7 linked regions of the Xenopus tropicalis genome follow. The protein of the gene in region 7 interacts with the protein of the main gene of each other region in a biochemical or structural test. Links are inferred from orthologs where the notes say so. Each region holds a gene or a part of one and is shown on either strand. Other genes may lie near its edges.

What was found.
Region 1: the proteins of raf1 (region 7) and phb form a complex in vitro, tested with the Homo sapiens proteins (2 studies listed by BioGRID). The link is inferred for Xenopus tropicalis from reciprocal best matches to the Homo sapiens genes RAF1 and PHB1.
Region 2: the proteins of raf1 (region 7) and rheb form a complex in vitro, tested with the Homo sapiens proteins (3 studies listed by BioGRID and IntAct). The link is inferred for Xenopus tropicalis from reciprocal best matches to the Homo sapiens genes RAF1 and RHEB.
Region 3: the proteins of raf1 (region 7) and pebp1.1 form a complex in vitro, tested with the Homo sapiens proteins (3 studies listed by BioGRID and IntAct, with this or other methods). The link is inferred for Xenopus tropicalis from reciprocal best matches to the Homo sapiens genes RAF1 and PEBP1.
Region 4: the proteins of raf1 (region 7) and pebp4 form a complex in vitro, tested with the Homo sapiens proteins (2 studies listed by BioGRID). The link is inferred for Xenopus tropicalis from reciprocal best matches to the Homo sapiens genes RAF1 and PEBP4.
Region 5: of the proteins of raf1 (region 7) and bad, one has a biochemical effect on the other in vitro, tested with the Homo sapiens proteins (2 studies listed by BioGRID). The link is inferred for Xenopus tropicalis from reciprocal best matches to the Homo sapiens genes RAF1 and BAD.
Region 6: the proteins of raf1 (region 7) and rasd2 form a complex in vitro, tested with the Homo sapiens proteins (2 studies listed by BioGRID). The link is inferred for Xenopus tropicalis from reciprocal best matches to the Homo sapiens genes RAF1 and RASD2.

The regions. Positions count from the first base shown.
Region 1 is NC_030686.2:14,011,361-14,014,989, reverse strand, and holds the end of phb (prohibitin), read left to right. Parts: intron 1-430; coding exon 431-526; intron 527-2,149; coding exon 2,150-2,362; 3' UTR 2,363-2,701; downstream 2,702-3,629.
Region 2 is NC_030682.2:14,441,327-14,445,733, forward strand, and holds the end of rheb (GTP-binding protein Rheb), read right to left. Parts: intron 4,104-4,407; coding exon 4,036-4,103; intron 3,551-4,035; coding exon 3,468-3,550; intron 2,834-3,467; coding exon 2,777-2,833; intron 2,678-2,776; coding exon 2,630-2,677; intron 2,194-2,629; coding exon 2,112-2,193; intron 893-2,111; coding exon 800-892; 3' UTR 688-799; downstream 1-687. UniProt on the Homo sapiens protein: Small GTPase that acts as an allosteric activator of the canonical mTORC1 complex, an evolutionarily conserved central nutrient sensor that stimulates anabolic reactions and macromolecule biosynthesis to promote cellular biomass generation and growth.
Region 3 is NC_030677.2:165,331,754-165,336,905, reverse strand, and holds the start of pebp1.1 (phosphatidylethanolamine-binding protein 1), read right to left. Parts: upstream 3,247-5,152; 5' UTR 3,162-3,246; coding exon 3,027-3,161; intron 1-3,026.
Region 4 is NC_030679.2:130,095,006-130,099,412, forward strand, and holds part of pebp4 (phosphatidylethanolamine-binding protein 4), read right to left. Parts: intron 3,038-4,407; exon of another isoform or gene 2,942-3,037; intron 2,665-2,941; exon of another isoform or gene 2,548-2,664; intron 1,783-2,547; 5' UTR 1,674-1,782; intron 1,273-1,673; exon of another isoform or gene 1,197-1,272; intron 655-1,196; 5' UTR 639-654; coding exon 517-638; intron 374-516; coding exon 241-373; intron 1-240. UniProt on the Homo sapiens protein: Promotes AKT phosphorylation, suggesting a possible role in the PI3K-AKT signaling pathway.
Region 5 is NC_030680.2:35,248,350-35,253,217, reverse strand, and holds the start of bad (bcl2-associated agonist of cell death), read right to left. Parts: upstream 3,208-4,868; 5' UTR 2,703-3,207; intron 608-2,702; coding exon 457-607; intron 183-456; coding exon 10-182; intron 1-9. UniProt on the Homo sapiens protein: Promotes cell death. Successfully competes for the binding to Bcl-X(L), Bcl-2 and Bcl-W, thereby affecting the level of heterodimerization of these proteins with BAX. Can reverse the death repressor activity of Bcl-X(L), but not that of Bcl-2.
Region 6 is NC_030680.2:114,844,277-114,847,899, forward strand, and holds part of rasd2 (GTP-binding protein Rhes), read right to left. Parts: exon of another isoform or gene 2,009-3,623; 5' UTR 2,000-2,008; coding exon 1,729-1,999; exon of another isoform or gene 1,707-1,728; intron 1-1,706. UniProt on the Homo sapiens protein: GTPase signaling protein that binds to and hydrolyzes GTP. Regulates signaling pathways involving G-proteins-coupled receptor and heterotrimeric proteins such as GNB1, GNB2 and GNB3.
Region 7 is NC_030680.2:153,471,356-153,474,453, reverse strand, and holds the end of raf1 (RAF proto-oncogene serine/threonine-protein kinase), read right to left. Parts: intron 2,979-3,098; coding exon 2,844-2,978; intron 1,891-2,843; coding exon 1,750-1,890; 3' UTR 1,051-1,749; downstream 1-1,050. UniProt on the Homo sapiens protein: Serine/threonine-protein kinase that acts as a regulatory link between the membrane-associated Ras GTPases and the MAPK/ERK cascade, and this critical regulatory link functions as a switch determining cell fate decisions including proliferation, differentiation, apoptosis, survival and oncogenic transformation.

The sequences.
Region 1 (3,629 bases), on a different chromosome or scaffold from region 7:
AGTGGGTTTGTGCTCCATATAAATGCAATTAACTTGAAGGATCTGTAGGCCAGCTGGTTCTTCTAGTGTCTCCAAGCCTTGGAATTAGAGGAGTCACATGACAGTGTTTGTTAGCCAGCACAGCTGCACAATTTGACATTCGACCAATCAACTAATTGGGAATTCCCCAAGGCCTCAATCTAACTAATCCAAATCAAAAGCTTTCATGTGACCTGGGATTATTTAGACACATTGGAATAATAGATGCTCTCGGTTTTTGTTATGTAAACCTTATCATTAGTAGTGGAAGATTAACAGATTAACTTCCTGCAGACGGGAAAACACTTTCATGTAATATCTGTGGCAATTTTGATTTATATATCAGGGTGGTGTATAATTTTACAGGTAACCTGCAAATAAAAAAACCTAAAGCACTTATTTCTCCATTCAGACACATCTGACCTTTGGCAAGGAGTTCACAGAGGCCGTAGAAGCCAAACAGGTGGCCCAGCAGGAAGCGGAGCGTGCCAGGTTCATTGTGGAGAAGGTACATGAGTGATCATTTAGTAAAAGCCAAAGTTAATGGGTTACAGGAAACAGATGTATAGATAACTAAATGGTATGAAAATGTTTGTTTCACTATCAGTATTCCACAAGACATATTGCCTGTATGTATATGTACAGGAGTGTATGTATATGTACAGGTTTGTATGTATACTGATGTAGCACTGAACAATTATATGCATGTTTTGTAGGGTTTGCGCAGGAGTAAAATATTTATATTCCCAAAAGAAGTGTGTTTCAGATCAATCAAGATATATACTGTCCATAATGGAATATGCCAACCCTTTTTGTAATAAAGCGGAACTCCACCCAAAAACAAACTAATCTCTTTGAAAAGTAAACATAATTTGAAGCAACATTGCAAAATACATCCGTAGTCGACTGTCCTCAGCCTGCATCCTCCAAATCCCACAGTTCCCTGCACACGTCGTCAATAAGGAAAGGAACATTGCAGTGCAATGCATTGTGGGTTATGTAGTTCCTGTATGCTCTCTAAGCTTTGGAGAAGTTATTACAAATTGTAACATCAATGATTTAGTCCCTCCTCCCCTGCCAGGATTTCACATGATGCAGAAAGAGAAGAACTGTGTTGTAGCTGAATGTTAGCATATAAAGATGGTATTTATTCATACAGTTCGAAGGAACAGATTACAGTCATAGGTATATTAGGGGTTTCTGTGTTGTGTGGAGCTCTTTAACAAATTTTAGTTCGTAAGCCAAAGTTCCACCTTAAAGGAACAGCTCAGTGTAAAAATGAAACTGGTAAAATAGACTGCGCAAAATAAAAAATGTTTTTAATATGACTAGTTAAGCAAAAATGTATTCTATAAAGGCTGGAGTGAGCAGATGAACATAATAGCCAGTACACTACTTCCTCCTTTACAGCACTCTAAGCTGTTACCAGTTGGTAACCAATCAGTGATATGAGGGGGGGGGCATATGGGACATAACTGAACTGTTCAGTTAGTTTGCTTTTTAATCTGACCCCCTGGTCGTCCCCCCCACCCCCTCTTCCAAAGTTAGTGACAGACTAAGGTTAGAGTGCTGAAAGCAGGAAGTAAAGTTCTGGCTATTATGTTAGACATCTGCCCACTCCAGTCTTTATAGCAGGGGTCCTCAACCTTTCTTACTTGTGAGCAACATTCAAATGTAAAAAGACTTGGGGAGCAACACAAGCACCATAAAAGTTAATGGAGGAGCCAAATAAGGGCTGTGATTGGCTATTAGGCAGCCTCTATGCACACTATCAGCTTACAGGGGCTTTATTTGGTAGGAAATCTTGTTTTTATTCAACCAAAACTTGCCCCCAAGTCAGGAATTCAAAATAACTCCCTGGTTTGGGGGCACTGAGAGCAACACCCAAGGGATTGGGGAGCAACATGTTGCCCCTGAGCCACTGGTTGGGGATAACTGCTTTTATAGATTACATTTTTGCCTAACTAACTATATTACAAATATTTTTTATTTTGCACAGTCCATCTATTTTACCCGGTTTCATTTTTACACTGAACTTTTCCTTTAAGGGATTATTGTGCCTGCCTTCATAGTTCCTATTGCTAAATGAGATGACTGAAATCTTACCAATTACTTTGTATCTCCTTTCCAGGCTGAGCAGCAAAAGAAAGCTGCAGTGATTTCTGCAGAAGGGGACTCCAAGGCAGCAGAGCTCATTGCGACGTCACTGGCGGATGCAGGAGATGGGCTTATCGAGCTGCGCAAACTGGAGGCCGCAGAGGACATCGCGTACCAGCTGTCTCGAGCTCGTAATGTCACCTACCTTCCCTCAGGACAGTCAACATTATTACAGCTACCACAGTAATTGGATGATGTGTTGTCATGCCATTTATTTTTTTTTACGTCTGACCCCTACATAGGTCTTTGTTAATTGGCCAATTTCCCTTGGGAAATGTTACAGAAGATTGTGTATGAAGGTGAATCTCCTACAGAGCCCACATAATACCCTACATGAAATGGACTTTAGCCACAGAACTGTTTGAATCCTGCCAATATATTTCTGAATTTGAATTGAATATAATTGTATTTTCAATGGAGGGCATAATACATTTTTGGTTGAAGCACTTGTTTATGTCTAAACCTAAAATCTGGCCTTCTGTCACTAACAATAAAAGTTATCCCTCAGAGGATATTTCAATAATGACATTGTATTATGAGTCAGATTACTTATGTAGGGATGATCATGTGTTAATCACCTATGAGATGTAACTTTGGGGGCCCAGGCCCTCCCTAAAATTGTTTGTTTCTGGACCACCATCCCCTTGGCCAAAACTGTGCCCCCCCCTCCCACGCAGCCATAGGGTGTATTCCTAGACCTAGAGTACAAGAGAGATTTGTGTAAAATGTAAAGGGATAGTGACTAAAATCTAGCAGGAAAGTGTCACTGTGGCTTTACTAAGCAGCCTGGTTTTAAGCTTGTGATTCCCTCGGGTCACCCTGTCACGTATTGACTAAAGTCACTGAGACAACATAGCTAGATAGTGAGTTTTCTGTTCTTTATCATTTTCTTCCTTCCCTCTACACACTTCACATTCTCTGCCTTTGCTCAGATACTTTTCTGCACCCCATCACCATAGCAAAAAGATCCCTTTTAAAGGAGAAAGAAAGGTAAAAACTAAGTAAGCTTTATCAGAAAGGTCTTTATCAGCCATAAGCACTCACAGAAACGCTGCACTGAGTTCACTGTCAAAAGATTTGTTGTGTCCGTTTTCCTCTCCCAGAGACACGCAGCTCTCTGCTCTCTCCTGCTCCCCCTCCCTCAAGAATGCTAAGAACTCACTCCCCCCCTTAGGAATGTGGATCTGAGCCAATCAGCAGGAAGCTGGCTCATAGTCTAACTATCTGAGCATGTACACTTGGTCTGGGTCTCGGTGCAGAGTGAGGCATTATGGGAACTTTCTTTACACAGCTCAGCATTTTTTCTTCCTGTCTGGCTTCTGATCTTCTGAACAGGTAAAATATGGGGAGACTTAAGGGCACTATTGAGAGAACTGAAGGTATGCCTGCAGCTTGAGATTAACTCTTTATTAGCCTTTCCTTCTCATTTAAAACCCCAGGTTCCAAACATTCTA
Region 2 (4,407 bases), on a different chromosome or scaffold from region 7:
TCTTTAAACCTTGAAGGAGCAAATCGCTCCTTTCAATTCCTAGTTCCTTTACAAAGAATCCTGGGTTTCTTTCCAGGAAAGAGGCCAGTTCCTTTTCTCACACTGCATATACCAGTCCCATATAATAATACGTCTCCTGACCCCTAACTAGCAGCCCTATATAACCGTACTACTGGAACTGCAGTGCTTCTTCACTCATTTACCCTTCTCCCCAGGTAGCTTTTTCCCCCAACCTGTTCTTCAAAAGGGACAATTCAATTCTTTTTCTACAATAAACTCCTTAGTGAGTTCATTGTAGAACACATACAAAGGAACCTGTAAGGTCTGCAGCTGTTTTATTTACAAGTTTACATTGAACAATGAAAGAAACACTGACATTCAAGCCTGGTTAAGTAAGAGTAATGTAACAATATGTATCATCTGTATGATTACAATATTATAAACAAACTACAATGAAAAATTAATGCCAGTAAAAGTCTTGGCCATAATATTAAGAAATATGATATACAAATTGAAGAGGTTTGTGATTGAGACATTTTGAAGATGGCAGTGAAATCATCTGCACAGAAGTCAGATTATGACAATCTGAAGAAAAACCATAAAAAAAAGAAAAGAAGGCTGTGACCATCCATACCTTACCATTGTTAAACCTTTGCTTGCCAGAGGAGACAAGTACAGGAAACACCTGGCTCCTCTGGCATGGAAATAGTTAACAGAAAAGCATAGTTTTGAAGTAGAACAGGCAGTTTGCTTATTCAAGTAGAATATATTCCCAGTGTCCGCGTCTTGTGTAGTGGAATTACATTACAGAACATGACGACTTCCCTTGTGAAGACCCGCCATCAATCTTTTCTGCCTCCAATATTATCCTTTTAAAAACATCAACTGCAGTCTGTATGGGAAAGCGGAACAAATAGGCGTTAGTGCAGAAAAAAAGACTAAAGAGAACTTTTACATTTGTTTTTTTAGGATAATTTTAAAAACTAGGGTTTTCAACCTATAAAATCATCTGTAATCAGAGTGACTTGGAAAACACATTAGTGTTGTGGTAGATATAGGGGCTGTAGCAGAGAGCCCTGGGCACAGAGTTAGTTTTTATACACCCCAATTTTCTAACTCCTACCCAAATCTTAACAGGTTTACCCTTGCATTTAACCCCCAAACCACCCAAAATCAAGATTTTCTTGGCCACTTCCCCGTTAGTAATTTTTTTCTTGCTGTGAAAGACTGTTGCATCCTTATATGCTTTGCTGACCCTGTGATCACTGGGCACACAGGTTGTGTGATATACATTTCTCAGTCTGCATCTCCTGTGCACCCGTAGAAAAGAGGATCTGCTCCCCTTTACAGCTGTGTAGCTCCAGGCAGAAACTGGGTTGGCCTATGTGCAGCCACACTGAGCAGATTTTGGCTGGAAAAGGTGTGCTTTTGCATTTCTCAGGCCAAAGTCCACTCAGTGTAGCTGCACAGAGGCTGACCCAGTGCCTGTCTGCAGAGCTACAGGAAGCTGCAGATTGTAACATGCTTTTCTCAACCTCCATTCAAAACGCAGGCTGAGAAAAGCACCATATGCCCCATATGCCCATACTCTTAACAGTAGCAGGGTTGCAAATCCAAGTCTTCCCTTTCCTTTAAAAATAAATCATATCATCTTACAAACAGAAGCAGTAACAGCTAAGAACTAGATGCTGTCTTGCCCATGTGACTAATAGGGCCTTTAACAGACATTCCTAAACTTGTTTACCTGGTTTAAAAACCCTGGTTTTAATTTTGTGAATCTGAAAACACCTGGGCAAGCCTTCATTTGTGGTAACAGAGCTGCCATTTTTCATCTTGGATTTTAAGCTCTGCAGGGCAGGTACCTCCTTTCTCTCAACATATCCACTTAATATGTTACTGTATATATTTTAGTTACTGTGCATATACATTTTTAGTTATAGTAATGTTTGGCCCCCTGTTTGTACTATATCCCCTATGGATGGCAGCATCATTACGGAGGTGTCTGTACGGCACATAACATGGTATTCTGTCAGCACCAGGACATTGAAAATATACCAAAAAGGTACCACATTTTATGGATATATTCCACTCACTCAACTTGTTAAGCTTACCTGATTTTCTTTAGCAGAGGATTCCAAAAAAGCAGCATTCCAAGATTCAGCCAATGACTTTCCTTCTTCATAGCTTATCACCCTATATTAAATATTTAAAGCATGTGAATATCACAGGACAATCGTGAATAAAGCAAGCACTTGTGTGCTTGCCTATAAGCACAATTTTGGAACACATACTTATCTGTAAAAAAAGAATGAAAAGAGATCATTCCTTTTTAACTCTTTTATATTAACATTGACAAACAATTATTAGCTGCCAAAATGGTTTAATACATACAGACCAACAGAAAAGTGTATTGTAAGATAAGATAAGTGTAACAGATAAGTGTATTGACCATGCCATTAGTGGGTTGCTCTGTTAAAAAAGGTATTGCGGTTTGAGGAAGAACTAAAACTTGTTTAGTGTTGCAGTTTTTCTGCAAGAAAACCTGTGATTTATTTCATTTGCTAAAACATAATATACATAATAAACATTTCAGTTAGCAGAACATGGAAGTGTTAAATTCACCACAAACCTTTCCATATGCAAGTCTTTTTTGTTTCCAACCAACATAATGGGTACTCTAAAACAAAGCAAACGGCAGATAAGTATTACAAAATAAAGGTAGTATGCAATTAAAATAAAAAAAAATAAGTAGTAAATCAAAAAAAGGAAAACTTACTGAACTTTTCCCACCATATCCAACAACTTCTCATGGATAACTTTAATCACCTCGAAACTGAAAAGGAAGAAATGAATAAGCATGAAATCACATATGGCATAAATAACGTGGACATTATTAGAGGTTTTCAGACCTTTAAGTTCAAATCCTCACTTCTAGTTCATTAAAAGGTTTGAGTAATTAATAATACAGCGAAAGCTCAATTTCACATCCCCTGATATGAAGTTTTTCCTCACCCTGACATTTACTTGCAATAAGCTGCCTGTCAGGAATTCTGAGCCCCACAAACCCAACAGCAGAATAATTTTAAATATTTCCCTTTGAATGTCACACTACCAATAAGAAACCAAAGAACTATCATAATATTCAAAGGTCTTGGCAAGAATAGTCATATTTTACTGGCCAACAGTAAATAACCCAAAAAGGACATGTGCTTCTGCAGCGTTGGACCATTCCAACACAAACAGCGGTGTGCCAAGTCAAACTGAAAGTAATGGTTTTGTATTTGAGCGACACGTCTTGGGGTTGAACGGACACAAGCTCTCTATAGTATTCTGCCCAAGGCTCATAGCACAAGGAAGATTATCTCTGACTACACCAAGTCAGCACCACACTACCTCCCATACTCCCAAGCACTGTCTTTACTGTATAGCAGTATATCAAACATGCGGTTCAAAAACAACAGCCTTACCTTTTAATTGATGTGACTGAATATACAAGAATGTATCCATTAATATCTATGGAGTATGTCTGAGGAATTATGGAAAACTCATCCTGAAAGGAAGCACACAGATCAAGGTTAATGATAAATTAAGAAAGAAACAAAAAGATGAGATTTGCCAGACACAACTAATGGCTGCACAAACACAAGATCTACTTTGCCAATCTTGTCAGGCACATTCTACACTGCCCGGCTCCCCTCCAGCCCCCAGCGCACGCTCTGTTCAATCTGAAGCCGGCAGAACTAAGCACTTGCAGAAATACCCAGCCCTATTGGCTTCTGCTAAAACTGCCGTAATAAGGCTCCATTTGTGGCACAAATGTATTTTCTCCTGCTGGCTCATTTTTTTTTCCTGCCCACCATTTTTAATGTAACATTAACATTATGAAACCAGCATATCCAATCTAACAGATAATCAAACACTGACACTATATAAAGTACCTGTATGTCTGTATAAAACAGCTCCAACTAAAAGCAAAATATATTTTCGCACTGCTATCCCTTTTACTGCAACATGATTAAGCAAAGAGCCGCTTACCTGTCCAGCAGTATCTACCAACTGAAGCTGATATTCTTGTCCATTCACAGAAATTTGCTTAGTAAATGCTTAAAAACAAAAACAACACACAGTCAGCATGTTATTCAACGCAAAACTAATAGCAAGTACTGTACAGTATAGTATAAAGTCATTACTCCAATAAACAGGAGAAACAGGGATTTTGAAGTTGGAATTGCCTTTATGTATTTTTGCTAAATATTTAACCTAGCAGCACTGCTGGGAATAGTCCGGTAGAGAAACAAACTGACTAAATGTAATCTTCAAAATCACCAGTAATTAACAGAGATATTTCAGCCATCAAAAAGCATGTGTATTTTTTACTTGGGTACCATTAAAGGGACTAATAGGTTA
Region 3 (5,152 bases), on a different chromosome or scaffold from region 7:
CTACCATTCAGTAAATAGTTCACGTTTATATTATTTTTACCGAAGTGCATAACTTTGCACTTATCAATGTCATAGGCAGTCACTATTTATTGGGCTGGTGGAGGACTGTTTGAAATGCCAGGGCCTATTTTGTATCCCAGTCTGGACTACTATGTCAACCCAAAGTTGTAAGGATCTGGTCTTTTCCATGGAGAAAAGAAACTAATGGTAACACAAAAGATACAAAAAATGGTCTGGCAAATCAGGACAGTGCAGGTAATTTTCAAATGAATGGCCCCAACTAGTGTGCACACAAGAATGTGTGGACTGCACAAATTTACGGTACGGCTCCTGCAGTGCTATATTCATGAGGGGTGGGTAGGGTTGCCAACTTTTTTGTAAAATAATACTGGTCATTGGGTGGTGACTTCACACGGAGGTGGGACATTTACATCACAGGGCAGGGAAATGGGCAAACGGGGTGGGGAAATAGACTGGGAGAGGAAATGGATGGAATGGGTGGGAAAATGGTCAGGGCATAGGTGGGTCTATCTTTATAAGTGGGTATCCTGCACCGGAGAGGGTCAAGGAAGGTGTGGCTTTATAGAGTATTACACATTTATTGCCAGTAAATTTATAATTGCAGCCTGGCCCTAAATGGTGATTTACTGGCTGGGCTAGGTGTGGGCACAGGGTTGATCCAGCCATAAGGCAAAAAAAAGCCAGTTATATAAAACAGGAAGCGACTGTGCTCTCTGCACTTGCAATGTGCCAATTGGCTCCTAACTAGGAGACCATGGAAGGCACAGGGTGCAAGGGAGCCCTGTACATATAGAGGCCCATTCACTAAAGGTTGATAATGCTTATCACATGCTTTTTTGCGTTAAAAAGCATGTGATAATTAAGTCCTGATTCATCAAAGTAATTTCGCATGCATTAAGATGCATATCGCATGCACAAAAAAATGCAATGTGTTATTTACCTCCCATTGGGTTAATTCTTGCATAGAAATAATACTAATGCATGATTCACAAACACATATGAAGCATTAAACGCGCTAAATATCGCATTAGTCTGTGCGAATATTAACACCTACTTGAGGCAGGCGGTACTTAAAGGGGACCTGTCACCCTAAGAAATAACTCCAAATTATTTTGTATATTGTTAGTTGTGCAAAATAAACTTTACTTACTCTATATAAATAATATAAATCTTGTTTCATTCCGTTGTGGAATTACTCGATCAAAGCAAGCAGGCAGGCACCATTTTGTGGACACAGTTATGAAGACAAGCTTTGTATCATGCCAAAATCTTGTTTATGTGCCAGAATGGGGGACCTGATACCCAGGCCCATGCACTGGCTATACAATTAGATGAGGAGGAGGGAGGGGGAAAGTGAGATGTGCAGTGACATCTAGGTAGTGCTGAACGGAAAGCTAAAGTTATTGGCTGCCCCGCCTCTATGCCTTAGGCACAGAGGCGGGGCAAGCAATATATGATTGACAGCTGGGATTTTTAAATGCCTTTATAATGGGTTTGGATGTGTTAATATAACAATGAATTTGGGTTTCATGTTTAATTTGAAAAGGACTTTTATTATACAGCTTTTATGTCTGGGTGATAGGTCCACTTTAAAGATAATTGTGGTTCGTGAGCTTTTGGCAACACAACATGGACTTTGCAGTGGGATTTTTTCAAGTATGTGTTGGCCCTATAGTGATGCAGCCTCCAGTTTTCAGGGAAACGGTAATTATCAGAACAGTAGTTTTCCAAAAGTAATGGTTACGTGCGTAAAATTATGTGCTAATATAGCAAGCGGCGAAATATATTGCGCGCAGCGGGAAATAACACATGTGGCGGGAATTAACTCAAGAAAAACGTTCATCGCAAGTTAAATAACGCAAAGAACATTGTGTCTTAATTATGACGCCTGTCCTTTTAGCGAATCGAGCGTTAAGTCACAAAAAATAAGAAGCGATAACATTTTTAATGCATGCTATAAATAGCGCTCGTTTTATCGCACTTTAGTGAATCAACCCCATAGTGTGACCTATCGTAGATGGTAATGACAGGGATCCTTATATCCTCCAGCACAAAGGTCTGCACAAGGTGGTGAGCCTCTCCTGCCTACTCCTAGTCCTCCTCCTTTGTCATTGCCCCCGTCGCTTGTAATTAGCGGTGGGGGCAATGACCCTCGCACCCCCTCCCCCAACTACGCATGTGTAACAGAGCATGGAAGGGGGGGGGGTCAGGTGGCCAACCGGGTTGCCTAGGGTGCCCGGTCGGCTTGGCCCGCCCCTGGATGGTGGGGAGGGGGACACATTCTAAAGCTGGCCAGACACGCACCGATATTGTATTGAATATCGTATGATATTCAGTGTGTGTATGGCAGCTCAAACAGGCGATCAATATCGCAAAGGCTACGGATATCGGTTGTCTTGTCGATCGGCCAGGTTCAAAGATTTTGATTCAAATCTACATTTAGGGCTTAATTGGCAGGTGGAGGTAGAATTTCTATTGTTTCTACCTCCATATCTGACGATTCAGCCCTGAACGTCACGATCGTTATTGCTACGTGTGTGGCCACCTTTAGTAATCCTGTATTTGCCTCTGGTGCTTTTACAAATGACCACTATGATTAGTTACCATACATGCACACCTACCTACTTACTGTGGTACAAAGAGAGCTGAAAACATGGCACAAGTGCTGCTTCATGAGATAAAGGGAGGACAATGACCAACTGTTTACACTCCCCTGTGCAAGTGTCCATAGCTAGGTAATTATCTCCCCCAAACTGCTCAGATTTACTAAAAAAGACAGGTGTTTTCTGCACAGAATTATACATTTTTACTTAGTAGTACTACGATATTTGTAAGGTAAATCGAATTTTTCAAATTCAGAACTAATTCAGTTTCCTCCTTATACACATCCCTATTAGTTTAGCTCTGCGCTGAACCAAACTTTACATCAAGGTGAGTGATAGTTACAGGGTGATGGGGGTCTCAGCCTGAACGCTTGCCTGCCCTACGAGCACTACAAAGTGTACCTGGGTGGGTGTCAGCACTTGCCCCAACTCCTCCACGCAAACAGATCCAAAAGCGACTTTCAGGGGGTATTTTGGCTGCTCCTCCACCTCTTGTAGAGCCAGGGGTCCGTTCCACTGGGAAATATCCACTAGCATCTTGGGGTTGATAACTACTACTACAACTAGTAGCAAAGCAGCGGCCACTGTGCAACTTCTGCGTTCTTCTGGCTGCTGTCGCTCTTCTGTGCCTGCAACTAAAGGGAGCCGCACCCTCGGCTCTGCCAGTTTCATTGGTCGCTGCGCCCAGCCAAACCCATCTTGGCACCAGTTTAGAAGATTAGAATAAAGTAGAGAATTTTGCTATTTACTGAGGCTTTGTGTGGCTTTATTTATTCTGTGCCTTACTGAAATCTCTGGGAATGGCCAAGCAGAGATTAAACATACATTATGTGAGTACACTAAGGCATTGGCATAAACAAGTGTCAGCTTGTGCCACTTTACAGCAGCCCCTGTTGAAGGGTTAAACAGCTACTACACAGCATGTGTGAAGGGTTAAACCTGTATGCTGCTTTGAAAGTGGATAATATCCATCCCAGCACTTGCTGAGGCTTGTTTATAATATATTAATAATGTACAAAGCTCACTATTCAGAATTGTACCCACAGTGTAAGTAAATCCCTGGCATGCCTGCCTGTCCCTAAGGTTCATACAGTTTCAGACTGGGACATTATGGGCATGATACCTTAACTGACTGACCACTAGCAAGCCACAACATTATCTATACAAACCAGAATCAACCACAGATTGGGCACTGCAAGTAACTACTAGTGGTGGATTTTCAGCAGAATTCATAGAACTCTGTTGTAAATCTGCTGAGGAATCTGTGGCACTTCTAAAAGGGTGGAGATCTCTCTTCACTGTAACCCTTATAGTCTCCCTGGCCTCCCTCTGCAAATCTGATTTATGCGGAGGGATGGGTAGTTGCACAGTAACCAACAGCATTAAATGGCACAGCGACTCCAGGGTCGGACTTTCCCACAGGGTACTGGGAGAATATCACTGACACCTGCTGCTGAAAACTACTTATCTTAATAAGGCTGTGCCATTTATGTGGAATGTTTGGCAATCTTTATGTAGCATTTTCAGCTAAGCAGAGAAAGGCAGAGAGAGACAAGCAGTATAGGAGCACTGGGAGAGAAGAACAGTTTGTGGTATTACGCTTGTGTGGATGTGGGTGATATTATTCTTTCACTCTATTCATTTTCTGCAGTGATTTTGCTGGTGTGTTTGGGGTTATTGTACTCATAGGTCATTTTCTTCTTTGATTGTGGCTTGTCTGGATTTAATGAAGTGTTCATTGTCCTTTTTTACAGTGTTATTACTGGCAAGTCTGGGGTTAATAAACTCATTATTCACTTTTTGCAGCTGTGTTTCTCTGATACTTAGTGCTAGAAATCAAATCATAACTATTTCAATATATATATTGTACACCTTTAAAAAAATGAGTACCTTTATAAGGCACAAACCCACTTAAGAGATGTCTGCACCAGCACAACACAACCCAGTTGTGCCAAAATTTGAGACATACATCCATTGCACTCCTTCAACAACTTTTGGTTGTCATTTGTTTCCCAGCATCCCAAGTGGTTTATCCAGAATGCTGAGCCCTGTTTGGTATTATTTGCTTTGGGGGAACCCAGAAATGACGCATGCTGAACCCTTTGTGCATTACATGCTTCTGTCGCAGGGAGTAGCTATTTCCCACACATGGAACCCAGTTAAATCTAATGGTAGGGATCTGTGCGTGCCATTCTCACCATGAATAGCATACTATTTATTGAACATGCTACAGCCGCAAAGGTTGCACAGATGTATAGCAACTTTAGTTGCTGTGCCCCCTTTAAGAGATACTGACACCAGAAATGAAACCCTTCTTACATCTTTCATAACAATGATCAGCAAAACATGATCAGCATGACCTATAGTTACATAGTTACATAGGGTTGAAAAAAGACCAGAGTCTATCAAGTTCAACCCATCCATGTAAACCCAGCACACACAACCCAGACCTACCAATCCTACCACACCTACCAAAACCTTTGGCCTCCTTTTAAAGGTTTATCCTTTTTCTTTTGCATTTGAAACTC
Region 4 (4,407 bases), on a different chromosome or scaffold from region 7:
TCCCCAATCTTTTTTACTCATGAGCCACACTCAGATATAAAGAAGTGTTAGGAAGCCACACAAGCATGAAAACGTTTTTTGGGGATGCTAAATAAGGGCTGTGATTGGCCAGCCCCATGGGGACTGCTGGCCTGCTGGAAGCTCTGTTTGGGGTAAAACAGTGTGTCTGTGCTTCCAAAACTTGCTAACATTTTTTGGTGGAAAATAAAAAAGCACTTTCCATGATTTACGTATACTTACCGGCTGGGCTTTGGAGTATCTGAGGAGAGGATAATCCCACACTTTAATGAGGCTCCGAGGAAAGTCAAAACAGTTGGGGATATAGATGCAGGACACGCGGCCAATATCTGGATATATGACATCTAAATCTTTACTGCAAGGCAAAAGAAGGATGAGAAATAAAGGATAAATAACGGCATGAAAAACCACAACAGGGAAGCAAAGAGGATGGAGGTAGGGCAGGAAACACAATCTGTGGCTCATTATTTCTGGACTCATTTCTGCAAAATGTCTCACCTGCAGAATTTTTCATCATTAGCATTGAAGAGTTTCCTTATGGAACATTCCTCAGCCTGAAGTGTACAGAAATGGGCAGCCAATGACAGGAGAGCCAAGAGTGGCAACCAGATCCTGGCCATCGCGATCTAGAGCAATCTAGAGCAAGATAAAGAGAATCATGCAACATTAAGTTGTCTTGACTTGAACTGAGATAGAGGAACATGTAAAAGACATTTTCTTGGAAGCAGATACGTCAAATGGCCAATGTATCTGGACATTTAAGAATTAAGGGAATGAATAAGAAGTTGGTCCTCTTAGCCCGTTACACTTCTAGAAAGGCTTTCTGTGCTGTCCTCACTTTGTGAATATGGGCATTATTGTGCAGAAACTGTTGCCACAAAGTATGAGGCTTGACATTATAAAGAATCCCATGATGATGTGGCCCCTGTGTCAGCAATGCTATATAGTTTAGGCAATTCCAGTTATGAAAAGGGCACCCCCCTACATTTGCTCATATGTTCTATTTTTGTTATAAACAGCATCATTTAATCTGCTTCATATTAAAAACAAAGTCTACAAGACAGCTGCTAACAGTGTATTCAAAGCAGCATCACTGGTTAGGGGGATAAAACCCAAATATGCCACTGATAGCTAAATTCTAAACCCTAATGTCCACAACTGAGGGATTTAATACTTACAGACAATGGCGGAAGACTAAACAACAAACAAAGGGAGTTAGATATTCTATATGAATACAAATGCAGGATCTGAAGAATCATTAAGAAGATGTGCTTGCATTGTCTAGATATTAATTTCAGAGCTGCTATGGTAACAAGTGATGGGGTGGTGCCAGGGATCTAGGGCACCGGTGAAGAAAGCATTCTTGCAGCTGAAAGTACGTGGACACAAAATGTAAAACCAATGATTTATTATGTAACATGAATGGCATGGATGCAGCAAAAAGACTGTATATTTTTGTTTTTTTGTCAGAGTATAACTACTGTATACAGCACTGCCTGGGAAGACATGTTATTGTATCTTGAAAGACAAAGAGCACTTAATGTAACAGAACCACAACAGCAGAGAGAATATACCCGCTAGTGGCACTTGTTTTCCATACTGGAAAATGTTTTGGCTTAGGCACAATACATAAACCAGATGCGGGTTTTACTTACTTTCTGGACTTACATCCAATACATTCAGGATCTTTAGTTTTAATTAGACGGCCCTCAGCCTTCCTACTGCCAAATCCTTTATCCCTCCTTTTTCCTTAGTTTCTATCTTCTATCAGTTATACATAAAAGAGAAATAGAAAGGTAGTCAGTGCAGTGGTACCAAGAAGATAGTTCATAACTGATCTGCAGGTCTAGATTTGGTAGTACAGGTATGGATCCCTTATCCACAAACCAATTATCAAGAAAGTTAAAAATTACAGAATTACGGAAAGGCCATCTCCCACAGACTCAATTAATCAAATAATTCACATTTTTAAAAATAGTTTCCTTTTTCTCTGTAATAATAAAACAGTACCTTGTATTCCATCCCAACTAAGATATAATTACCCCTTATTGGGGGCAGAACAGCCCTATTGGGTTTATTTAATGGTTAAATGATTCCCTTTTCTCTGTAATAATAAAACAGTACCTGTACTTGACCCCAACTAAGATATAATTACCCCTTATTGGGGGCAGAACAGCCCTATTGGGTTTATTTAATGGTTAAATGATTCCCTTTTCTCTGTAATAATAAAACAGTACCTGTACTTGATCCCAACTAAGATATAATTACCCCTTATTGGGGGCAGAACAGCCCTATTGGGTTTATTTCATGGTTAAATGATTCCCTTTTCTCTGTAATAATAAAACAGTACCTTGTATTCCATCCCAACAGATATAATTAATCATTATTAGAGCCAAAACCATCCTATTGGGTTTAATTACTGTTTAAATATTTTTTTTAGTAGACTTAAGGTAGGAGATTCAAATTACAAAAAGACCCCTTATCCAGAAAACCCCAGGTCCCGAGCATTCTGGATAATGGGTCCAATACCTGTAGATCCAGGGGTCCCAGCTCTGTTAATGAATCTTCCTGTTGCATGGAAGACAGTTCATAACTGGACAGTAGATCTGGAGTTGTCAGTAGATCACAACAACTTATAAACAGAAACCTTCCTGTTTTTTTCTAATTTTTCACATTTCAAAAGAGTATCAAATAATGTATGAATGTATATAGAATTTATGATGTTATATTGACATGCAATTGATGTGGCCAAGGCTGTCATTATACTTTTTCCTACATTTGTAAGACTGTAGCATTCAGGGTACTTTGAGATGCAATGAACAGGTGACTAAATATTGTTTTTAAACCTCCGGAAAGTGGCCCTTTACAACTGTAATACAAAAACATAAAGGGCCACAGGAGACCACAGTTTAAAAAAACTCACCATGTAGAGAAGGTGGTCCAGGAGCAACGGTCCCTCAGTTCAGAGAGCGGATTAACCAACAGCAAGAAAACAGGGGGGGGATCCAGGCACGCAAGGATGCCCATGACTAAGTGCCCTTGGGGTCATGAAACACACAGAGTCACTGGAGATCTTTTAATGTAATATTTAATAAACATGTTTTTTTACTTTGATTTTTGCGGTTCTTGTGGAATCCTAGAGCCCCTGGTTACCCCCTGTTTTCTTACAGTAGGTTAACCCTATAACTGTACCCACTATATATCCTTAATGTTGTGTTCGTATCCCTTGATAGGATCATTCACTAAAGGTAGAGCCCTCACTGGTAGTCTGTGTACCTGCGTTCACGGGAACACAAGGAAAGTACAAATCAATGGGAGTAAGCTACTGAGGTCTCAATTACTGTTTTGTGAACAATGAATAAATGAAGGATAAATATATATAATTATAATATACAGTGGTGGCGACAATTGCCTGTCCACTATCTCATTCCAAAATGAAGGGTATTAATAGGATTTTGGTTGCCCTTTGCTGCTATAACAGCCTCTATTCCATTGGGAAGGCTTTAATGGTAAGGACAAGTTTTAGTTCTGTTTAACCATAAGGCCACTTTTGTTATGTTATCAGGTCTGCCTTGCAAGTAGATGTCCAAAATATTGCACAGGAGTTTGCCTACCATGTCTAGCATGCCATTTAAATAACAATTCAACCCAAAATATAATTTTTTGCCTTATAAAAGAAAATATCATTCTAAACAACATTGCAGTATACATTCATTACACATAAAATTGCTATAAGAAGTAGTGTTTGCCTGTCCTTCTCTATTCTCTGCACTGGTGGCTCTGACTCCTGAAACAATGTAACACAAGGCAGCAGAATGACAGACCTGACTCGCTGGAGGAGACCGACCTTTGCAACATTGTTTAAAAAGTAACAACCAGGGTTTAGCAAATGCTGCTTTCAATAGCAATTACATTTACAAATAACTGTTAAACATGTTCAATAAATTCACTCAATTCAATTGGAAAGTTGCTTGGAATTATGTTTTCTTTTATTAGGCAAAAAATTATTTTTGGGGTTGACATGTCCATTAAGACCTAAGGGAATTAATAGGAAGTTGGTCCTCTCTTTGCTGCTAAAACTGCTTTTGCCCACTACACTTCTAGAAAGGCTTTCCATGAGATGTTAGAACATTGATATTTATGAAGGTAGAACAGCATTCTGCCTCCTTTACCCACTGCTGGAAATCATTTTCACTTGCCCACAAATATTATAGACAAAAAAACAACACGTCTGTGCTTTCTCTTTTTATAGCTGGCTCTTGCTTCCTTATATTTGGAAGAGTCATACTTTTTTTACTCTCCAGCCAACAACTCCATGAACGCAATGGCCAGAAACTCAGGGGTTACAGTGCATGCAATGCTGCTCCATGGAACTGAATATGCTCAGTA
Region 5 (4,868 bases), about 120 Mb from region 7:
AATTGTTACCGTGAAGCTTTTTTCAAATTCATCACTCATTCTTCTTAACTCCCGTCCATATTTTGTAGCGATCATTGAAGACGGAGCAGAACGGGAACGGGAACGGAAAGGATGGAGCTCGCCCACTTTGTCTGTCTCACTGGACTCTGAAGCAGACTCAGTGCGTAAACGTGACTCCTTCCCTGTGATAGAGGTAGTATTATTAATTATGCTTTTGTTGTTTACAGGGGTACAACTATTTCAGTATATGCTATAATTCACTTACTAGTTTAAAACGGCTGCTAGCAGCACTGTTATTATTACCCTTTATTTATCACTAAGACATTTACAACATACTTTCCAGAAGTCACTGCCTGCCTATATATTTTATCTTATAGCAAGTCAGATTTCAATATTACAGATGGCATAATGCTTATGAAGAAAGATGAAATACATATTTTCTTGGCAGAAGATCACCTGGGTATCTTCGCAGGCTGGGAGAACTCTTAGCTACAGGTTGTCGAACGCCTGCCCCACGAGGGGGATCCACAAAAGGCAAAGGTAATCCCTGTTCCTCATTATCGAATTCCTCTAACTTGAAAACTGCTGAAGGGGATGAATCTGCCATCTAAAAAAGAACAGAATAATTTCAGGGAGTTATACATACATATATACTGCTAATTTCTATTTTGATAAACCTAAGCTGTTTCCACATGTCTCATTTAAAATGTAACAGCATCAGTCCTGTCACAGTGTTTGATATTTGTCTAGTAACCCATAGCAAGCAAGGTAGCTTCTACTGGCTGCTACGGGTTACTAAATGTGGCAGAAGTTAAGGCTTTTTTTAATTCCAATGCCTCATTTGCGCTTTTAAATTCAGTGGGAACTTTTTATGAGGGTGTTTAATTTACCTAGGGAAACTATATATAGTTTATTGGCTTCTTTTTCTTCAAGGACAGCCTATGATTTTGTGAATGCTTGCGTTATTCACTTCTGTAATGAGATATAGGACTACAAGAACCTAAAAAATGAAATCATTTTTCAGACTGATGACAATGATTGTAAAATATTTGGGAAGGAACATTGATTTTTTTGGAGGATGAATCTGGATTAAAAAGAATACAGAAAGTAGCTCTTTTTTTCTAGCATACAAAATTATATTTAATAAATTAAGCATTAAAAAGCTTCATATTGCCATGCACTGGATGGGACCACATCTACTGACCATAAAATCATGGAAACAACTGGTAAACCAGGCAATCCCACTAATTAATCTTACCTCAGAAGCGAGAGGAACACAGACTAAATTTGACCTGATTTGGACCCCGTGGATTGAAGCAGGACTGGACTGAACCTACATAACATGTACTATAACCAAAGTGATATGCATATCTCTATTTGCACATAGTATGGTTGTATCACTGGCCAACCAACTAAAACTAATGTATTCTGCAAATGTTTGGCATAAATGTCTGTCTGTTGTTAATAAAATTATACCTATATAAAAAAAAGCTTCATATTAAAGTAGGAAGTACAATGACCAATCACCACACCTTTTGTTTAGTGAATACACTCACTTGTTGCACTGTGCTACAGTGTTTGGGAGAGATTGCCAAGAGAGTGGATCTTCTCCTGATATGCCCACCTATGGGGTGGGTGATATCGGGCTAATTCAGTTGTTTGGCCCTAGAGCCAAACAATGGAATTAAAACAGTGGGAATAGGCGCCTTAGGTTCGTGGACCACATTAACAAGCCAATGTGGTCCCCGATCTAACAGAAAAATCAAATCTGCCCGATCGAGATCTGGCCCGTCGTTCATGCTAATACATGGGCAAATAAGCTTCCGATTCTGTCTAAAGGATGTATGGCCACCTTTTTAGTGTTTAGTCCAACAAACAAAAAGCTAAATGATTAAAAAAGGAACTGAAAATTGTGAATATTAGTTGTAAATTGCCTCAAAATACCACTGTCTACACAAAACTAAAGGTGAATTTAAAGGTGACATCCATACTAGCAGGCATCAGGTATGATTGGCTGAACTGAGAAGGTCAAACCAGACACTGACACTTTGGTTACACAGTGATATAGGCGGAAGTGGTCAGATAGCATAATACCTTACTGACAAGGTTATAACAACACCTTGAGAACAGTACTTATATGAACCTACCAACTTCCTTGTGCGCACACCTAAGTTCCCAACTCCTTGTCAGCTGGCTATAGTGCATACTAACGGGGTGGGGCCCTTTAACGAGAGTTTAAGGTGCTGCAAATGGCACCAGCAGCCTAAACAACAGGCTCTCTGGAAAGACAGATTCTGCTATGTGTTGAAAGCTATACTAGGGAAAATAGTTTTGTCTGTTAGTGTGGAGGAAACACAGGATGCAGATGCAGCGCCGTCTCGGGCTCAGTGCCAACCTGGGGCGGCCAAGGTGATGCCAGCCCCCCCCATGTTTTGTTTTTTTTTTGCGTTGGAGAAAGTTGATGGGGGCTGAATCACTAGTGCAGAGAGCATAATAGTGATCTCTGCACTAAAATTCCGATTTTTATAAGTTACCAGGAGTCTTTTTACCACCCCTGGCAATTTGTCGGGTGCTGCCACCTAAGGTAAGTTGCTCAACTTGCCCCAAGGTAGCAGCTCTCCTGTGTCCCACTGTGACGGCAGTAAGGGCTTCCCTTGGGTGCAGTCAGATGTGTGAAAGGCTGGGCTGGAAGCCCTACTTACTCTGCTGGAGTGCTGATGAGCTCACAGTTTAATCCCTGAAGTCGCCTCAGCTGCTCCACTTGCTCAATGGAACCCTAGCAGGCGGCAGCTATAGTAAATCATGGAGACACTTCCGAGTGCTGTGGAAACATCCAGCAACATAGGGACTCCCCAGTCCATAGACCTAACACAGACTCACAGCTAAATGGCTGGTTGCAGAAATCCCAGTGTCACTGGCATGGTAGGGGTTAAATAACTCGGTTCAGAAGGAACCCTGCTTCCTATTCTCACTGTAGCTCTCTCTCCCTGTCAAGATGGCTGTCCGGCTGCTGCACAGGCTCACACTGGCTGCTGATGCCTTGTACACACACACAAAACGTCCAGGAAACTGAAGGAAGCAACTCCCAGACGGCTGCACACTGCTTCCCCCTGGATTCTGATATTATCTCTCCAGCAGCCTCTGTCTTCCAGTACTGCTTTTCTCCCTGTCCCCTTGTTTTGCTTCCTCTTCCTGTTTTTCGGCTGTGTGGGCGGGACCCTCTGAGTCCTGTACTAATGATTGGCTGGAGAATTCCCTCCATGCTGCAAGGCTAAACGTGAAGTAGTTTCTATGCAAACTGTTGTGAAAGGTAGCACTGAGCACTGAAAGCATTTCAGTGCTCAGCAACCTTACACATACAAGACATTAAGGGCAATAAATCCAACAGATAAACCTCTCATTTCCTTACACGTTGGAAAAGCACACAGACAGCTTACCTGGCTTCTGCCTCCTGATGAAATTGGGAGTAGTGTGTAGTATTTTTGATCTGACTGAGCCATGAAAAAATAATAGCTTTTTAACTGCAAATGAAGTGCTGTGCATCACTGCAGTGAATTTAGTGTGTCTGTAGTGGCATAACTAAAAGTACTTTGGGAGTTTAACATTTTTCGTATATAATCATATAGTCAGAGGACATAATGGTGCACTCCACTAACAGAGTCAGGACCTGGGTGCAAGAGCCGTATGATCAAAGTATAGTAAAAGTAATGTCAGCAATCACAGGATTTAGAATATAGGTGTAAAAAGTCAATATTTATTGAAACATAATAAAAGGAACATAGCAAACCTCAATGTTTCACATTCAAGGTACACATGCCTTTTAAGTCAGTGTCCAAATGGCCTCCAGCTTCCCTTTTAGTTATGCCCCTTTGTGTGAGACCTGTTAATGCATTAAATATTTTGGAGTTATCCTGCTCTCTGTTTACCTGGCTTAAAGCTAACCCTTGCCATGGAAAATGCACCCAAAATACTCAGCAATAGGGCAGACTACAGACAGTAGACTACAAGGAGCACAATTGGGGCGCATGGCCGTTGACATATACCTCAGTGGTGTAAATATAGAGAAAGCAGACTGCAGTCTGCTTCCTATATAGTTGCAAAGTCTTCCCTCCCCAGCCCCTCTGATACTTGCAAGCGGGATGGGAAGACTTTATAACTATATAGGAAGCAGCCTCTGAAGATATTTTTGTGGTGGTGGGACTGGTGCACACTAGATATGCCACTGATATTCTCCATTTAGGGTTGCCACGTTTCTGGAGAAAATACCAGCCTTTGCATATTTTTACCTTTCTTCTCTTATTAATTGGGATCAAGGATCAGGAAATTATGTGAATTAGACACAATAACTGTGCAGTGTAAATGTTTTGGCACTATATAAACAAAGGGTAATAATACTAAATTGTGTCCTGCAATTTGTATAACAATATTTACATCTGCAACTGTAATTATCATCAGTTTTGTGTATTGCTTACGGGCAAAGTGAAGACTGGTTAGGTTAGTTCAGCAGTCATGCTTCTTCAGTTCATCAGGCAGTGACAAGTGCTACGTGGTAGTTTAATATACACTGGTCCTGAAAAAACAAACTTAAACTCTTTCCTACCCAGGTTAGCTGAGCTAAATAAGATGATTTCAGGATTCATGGCTTCAGTTCTATTTCCCCTTTATGGTTCAGTTTTTGCTTGGGGGAACTTACCTTGTTGTGATAGTGATCGTTCTAAAGTTACAAGAGTATTTAAGACTAACAACAATTGTTTATCCCAGATGTCACTATCTTGGAACATAACTTGGGGCCCCAGCACTCCCACAAATAGTTTTCTTTTGGGCCCCAACCCTAGGCAGTGTGCAGAATTGCAGGTGATCCGCAATCC
Region 6 (3,623 bases), about 39 Mb from region 7:
AGATGTTGGAGTTAGACTGTGTTCTCCACTGCTGGCACATGTCTTCTTGTTAGCTCTTACATATACCCAACCATTAGCTGCTGGAGTAATTAATGATTGAATGTAACATAACTGAGGGGCACATACAAGCTTTACAATCACCCCATTCTCAATTCTTTTGTGCTGGCAAAAGGGTTAGGGTTGAATCAGAATTGGCAATGCCAAAATTCCTGTCATTTTGCATAAAAGCAGGTCTGGTGGTTCCTGAATTGGTTACACTTGTCCCGAAGCTTAAGGTGTCTGGCTCAGTTTACCTATCACAGGCAAGTATTGGCTGATATACACATGCACAAACATGTCCTCATAAACCTTTCCTTCATATTCTCCCCATCAGTTGCTGCTATTTGCTCACACTTCTGACTTTTTGCTGCACAAAGTCACACTATATGCCCCTATTTATGTCACCAGTCTTTTTAGTAAAATACACATGGCCACCAGTGGAGTAACTAAAAGAGTCTAGTCACAAATGCAAATTTTTTTGTGGCCCCCAACTCTTTTCAGAAGATGATATATTTTGCACATGTTTATTACAATTGCCCATCAGTCGTGAATATCCCTGTACCCTCTATATCCCCACAAGAGCTGCTGTTTCTATTGCCTAAAGGGCAGACATATAATTATGCAGTCCCAATCCCTTCATTCAGGACGTGTCTGCAGTGGTAGCTGATCTACAGTTCCTAAGCTCTTCTGTCATCTGGAATATTCCCACACATAGTTGTACTGAAACTCCCTGTCTTCCTAAATTACATTTCCATCTATCTTTCATCCATCTACTTGCAGCCTCCCAGCTTTCCAATCTTTCTAGTCCAGAGCTACTTTTTTCACACATAGCAGACTAATTCGCACATAGCAGACCTTGATGTATCCCTTGCAATCAAATTGTTAACGGGTAACAAGGAAATAGTGGGAATTGCAAACCAATCACAACAAAGAGCTGACAAGTGTATTGGACCAGTTGCTATGCTGAACCACCAGCTGAGGAGCCACTTGACTCAGTGTGAGCAGAAGTCAGAAGAATCCTGGCTATCATTAATAGTGTTGGTTCCTGATTTTTAAGATTGTTCTAGTACTCCCCTTGGATTCTATTAAGTGCAGAACAATGACTGGATGGAGAATGAGGAGCTTTAAGTGTTACTGTCACAGCTCACTATGCTGGTTTTCTTTCATTTTCTAGTGATATATAGCATTCCAAAACATCCTCCCTATAGAAACAAAAATAGCATGTGTATGAATGTTTATATTCTGTCACACTAAATACTCTCTCAGGATATGTTTATGTCATCACCTTAGCGATCAGATTTTTTTTACTCCTTGGACATCACACCTAAACTATGGAATAGGCACTGGTACTGCTGCAAGGAGAGAGGCCAGGAGGGGGCCTTTCACCTATTAAAGTTTCAGTCCCTTTTTTGCTTGGGAATTCTGCAGAAAAGTTCAAGATTATGAATTTGTGCTTAATGAAAATTTACAGTTGCTACTGGGACCATTTCCACCATATAACTCCTAATAACATCATTTCATAGAAAAAAATAATTTTGATCAGTTACAAAAGGAAATCAAGGATCTGATTGGTTGCTATAGGCAACTGCTGTGGTGCATTTTAGTACCAGTCTAAAATGTCAGTACCACTGTGCATTACCTACAATAATAATTGTGTTCATGTTTAGCCCAATCTGTCTGTGCACCTACCTGTGAGAATCGATAGCCTCCTCATGGCTGGGAATGGATGGTTTCCAGATGTATCTAGAATGTCTAGCTGGTACATGTCTCCTCTGATGTTGTACAGCTTGCGATGAAAATCCTCAATGGTCGGTGTGTATTGGTCTTCAAATCGTCCGTTCAAGAAGCGAGAAACGATGGCACTCTTGCCAACTCTGGATGCCCCAAGGACAACCATCCGATAAGAGTTTTTAGCTGGGACACTGAGTGTGCAGTTCCCACTGGAGAGAGTCTTCATCATGGCTTCAACCTAAGACATAGAATATTTATTATATCATTTGACCTCAGTGACTAGATTCCTTAGCTTGCTCAGCTTGCGCTTAAAATACAGCCCACCCTTTCACATTCAAAGTCTAAAATCACCACTCTAGGGGGGCATTTATCAGCATTTGGATTTTTGTGGTTTTAAAGGTTTTTTTAAACTACAACTTAACTCATTTCCACGAATATCAGTCATTCTTAAAAAGATCCGAACTGAAGAACCATGAACAAAAAAAGATGCAGAAAAAAATGCAAAAACTTTTTTTTTTTTGTATTGTGGCACAAATGACAGCGTCAAAAAAAACAAAAACCTCTAAAACCACAAAGCAAAGAAATATCTTCCATTTGTAAAAGGGACATCTGCCATTGACTTCTCAGCAGGTTTTAGATGGCATATTGTTGCTTTCGGATTTGTTGCAGCTTTGTCACATAATGAATTGCAAAAAAAAATGAAAAGCTTGTATTTTGGTGCCAAGAAACCTGAATGGCAAAAAATTTGAGCATTAGTAAATGCCCCTTTGGTGTAAGATGCACCACATCCTAGATGTATCTAGTGCAATATTTCTGATGTCTATGCATGAATTTTATCCTTATCAAAGGCAACCTGTGGCACAACATAACCTTCTGGCACAACAGGGGTCCAACAAAAGGGGACTCAGACCCTGAGACTGTTGGGTGGCCCTGAAATGATGTGCAGTTTCAATATACAATTTCAAAACAGAACATATTGAAGCAAACCCAGGTATTCCTGTCTGCATGAGACCTACATGTTCTAATGTTGCATTTCAGAGAGTTGCATGTCACTTCAAAATATTTCCAGTTCCCAGACATCAAAGCTATAATACAGCACATTCAATAAAAGGTTGCCGTATTGACTACTAGAATGGCTTCTCAGTTATTTCATGAACTTAAGGGCATCATAAAGCAGATCTATCCCCCAGTTACTGAGACAATATCTATAATGACATGGCTTCTTTTGTGAGAAGTATGAAATCGCTTTTATTCGGCTACAGTACATTGATTTGCAGCTTTCATAGCAAATCAATGGCACAAAAGAATTGCGTCAAACGGCAGAGAGTGCAGGGTTGCATCTGCAAGTTCATCTACAATGAGGCAGAATGAAACAGGGGATGTAGGGAAGGTAATAATGTTTCATTCTGGATGTAAGAGAAGTGACCTGGGCCAAGGTATCTGTAAGTCATTCTGTAGATGGCAAAATTAGTGATACAGGTAATCAGCAAAGGTGGTATAGAATCATGTAGTAAAGCATTCAGTTAACAAAATTCTGCCAGTCAGTCTGTATTGCTGGAAAATGCACAATATTACCAGCCTCCAATAACAAAAAATAAATAAAGAATTTGTTAAAGCAAACTGAAACTGGTGTTTCAGTTGTACACATTTGCTCTTTCTATAAAATATATGGTTATATCTCTCTGAATAGATTGGTGCCCATTTTGCTAAGCAATATTTTTACCATATGCCCCAGCCTATCCTTAGCTTGTACTGTAGGGTTTTACAAAGTCTGCCTGTTTTATTACTGTAATGCCCCCTATATTACATTGCTTGGGTTCACATTGCTCTGCATATCTCACTATATTAATGCT
Region 7 (3,098 bases):
CCATAACCTGACTGCCCTTACAGTAAGGAACCCCTTCCTATGCTGATGGTGAGATCCCCTTTCCTCCCCACCCCCAATGTATCACTCATTCCCCCTCTCTTGGTAAGGAATCCCATAACCTGACTGCCCTTACAGTAAGGAACCCCTTCCTATGCTGATGGTGAGATCCCCTTTCCTCCCCACCCCCAATGTATCACTCATTCCCCCTCTCTGGGTAGGGAACCCCATAACCTGACTGCCCTTACAGTAAGGAGCCCCTTCCTATGCTGATGGTGAGATCCCCTTTCCTCCCCACCCCCAATGTATCACTCATTCCCCCTCTCTTGGTAAGGAATCCCATAACCTGACTGCCCTTACAGTAAGGAACCCCTTCCTATGCTGATGGTGAGATCCCCTTTCCTCCCCACCCCCAATGTATCACTTATTCCCCCTCTCTTGGTAGGGAATCCCATAACCTGACTGCCCTTACAGTAAGGAGCCCCTTCCTATGCTGATGGTGAGATCCCCTTTCCTCCCCACCCCCAATGTATCACTCATTCCCCCTCTCTTGGTAGGGAACCCCATAACCTGACTGCCCTTAGAACAGCGGTTCTCAACCTGGGGGTCGGGACTCCTTTGGGGGTAGAATGACCCTTTCACAGGGGTCGCCTAAGACCATCAGAAAACACATTTCCAATGGTCTTAGAAACCGAGACACCGCTCCTCTATGGTTGGGGGGGGGGAGGGAGGGGGTGGTACATTATCCCTTATAATACATGAGTGATACTCAGAGTTCCCTGTATAACTCAGCCTGCAGCCTTGTGCCTTTATATGGGGGGCACAGAACCCCTCAGTGACTGCTAATATCCTTATCATTTACAGTAGGGGGTACATTATCCACTTTATATTTTCTCCTGTAACCAGACTCTCTGCCCGTGCTTACTTGGCTAATGTTCTGCACAGGTATGTTGGCACCTCCCAGCCCGGCACTACTGGGGTACCCCACTATAGCCAAACCCCTCTCACAGCCTGCCCTGTGCCCCCCCCAGCTGGATGACGGGAAACAGAATGTAAATAAAATGTAAGACGCATTTAATTTATAACAAAAAGGCAAATCAGCCAATAGAGGCAGCTGCTGAGAAGCAGTAAAAGAACCAATTAAAACCCAAATCATATAATAACAAACGGTATCACTCCGATTCCCCTTATAGTGCGCATCTGGGATCTCAGTCGGACCTTGTATGTACATTGGTGTATTGGGCCCCCCGCCGGGTTCTGCACCAACGTCCCCACTGGGCACAGAGACCTCCAGGGCTTTCCTGCGATAGACGGAACCAAACCCAATTCCCATTGTGCCGCTGCTGTATAGGAACACAGGGACCCCCCCGCCCGTACATGAACTGATGTGCAAATCAAGTCTATTAAGGACCCCCCAGGCCATTCCACACCCACCCCCAGCGCTGCTTCTGCCACAGAGAAAATTCCCCCCCCCCCGAGTTCATCTGGGATTTCAGAAATGAAGAAAATTCCAGGTCTGGAAGCTCCGGGGGCCGAGATTATTGCGCAGTGACTATAGGAGCTGGGAGGCCAACCCACAGGGGGGCAGCAGTTTATGATGGGGTGTCACACAGTGAGACTGGAAGCACAGTGGCGATATCCTGGGGCTCAGGGGCCCCTGCCTGACACACTGGACAATCTCCCCTTTGGGATAAAGCACTTGGCGTGGGGGGAGAATTTGGTGATGGTGCCACAGTCACAGCAACTGTCCCCTCAGAAAACTGCCAGCCGGGTGGAAGTCAGTGTGCAGGAATTGATGTCCTCTGTGTGTGCGGCGCGGTGTAACGACGGCTCCGAAGCGCTGCGATTGATTTTGGGTAACGAGTGTTGTAACAGCTCAATAGATGAGAGGATCTGGCACAGAAAATAAATATATTGCCATGTTATACTGTGTGGCACTGCCACCTATAGCCTGGCACATCATATGAACATAGCTAGCCTTCTGGCAGTGAACATTGGGGTAACGGTCACCCCGCTATAGTTCCAGGGGTACCCAGGGCACAAATAAGCACTCACCCCAAATCCCCCCCTAACTGGCCTTCAGGCTGGGCCCCCTTAGCCCATAACAAGGTTACAGATATATAGAAACATTGGGGTAACAGTCACCCCGCTATAGTTCCAGGGGTACCCAGGGCACAAATAAGCACTCACCCCAAATCCCCCCCTAACTGGCCTTCAGGCTGGGCCCCCTTAGCCCATAACAAGGTTACAGATATATAGAAACATTGGGGTAACAGTCACCCCGCTATAGTTCCAGGGGTACCCAGGGCACAGCACTCACCCCAAATCCCCCCCTAACTGGCCTTCAGGCTGGGCCCCCTTAGCCCATAACAAGGTTACAGATATATAGAAACATTGGGGTAACAGTCACCCCGCTATAGTTCCAGGGTACCCAGGGCACAAATAAGCACTCACCCCAAATCCCCCCTAACTGGCCTTCAGGCTGGGCCCCCTTAGCCCATAACAAGGTTACAGATATATAGAAACATTGGGGTAACAGTCACCCCGCTATAGTTCCAGGGGTACCCAGGGCACAAATAAGCACTCACCCCAAATCCCCCCCTAACTGGCCTTCAGGCTGGGCCCCCTTAGCCCATAACAAGGTTACAGATATATAGAAACATTGGGGTAACAGTCACCCCGCTATAGTTCCAGGGGTACCCAGGGCACAAATACCCACTCACCCCAAATCCCCCCCTAACTGGCCTTCAGGCTGGGCCCCCTTAGCCCATAACAAGGTTACAGATACAGTACCCAGACATTGGGGGGCACTGTACAATAGAGCAATGCAGGTCTATGCACCTCACCTGAGGGAATAGGGGGCGCTCCTCCCGCATTTTTTTGATACAATCGGCCACGAGACGCTTCATTGCCTTGGGGCAGTTCTTGTAGAGCTTACTCAGGTCGGGGACCGTCCCTCCTCGTCCAACCAGAAATATTATCTAAGAGCAAAGGAAAGAAGTTACTGGGCTGTGAGCAGTGGCACAGGAGAGGGGTAAGTCGTATCCAGGAAGGGTAGGTAGGTAGGTAGGTAGGGGGTGCTTCTCAGCAAGCAGAGCCAG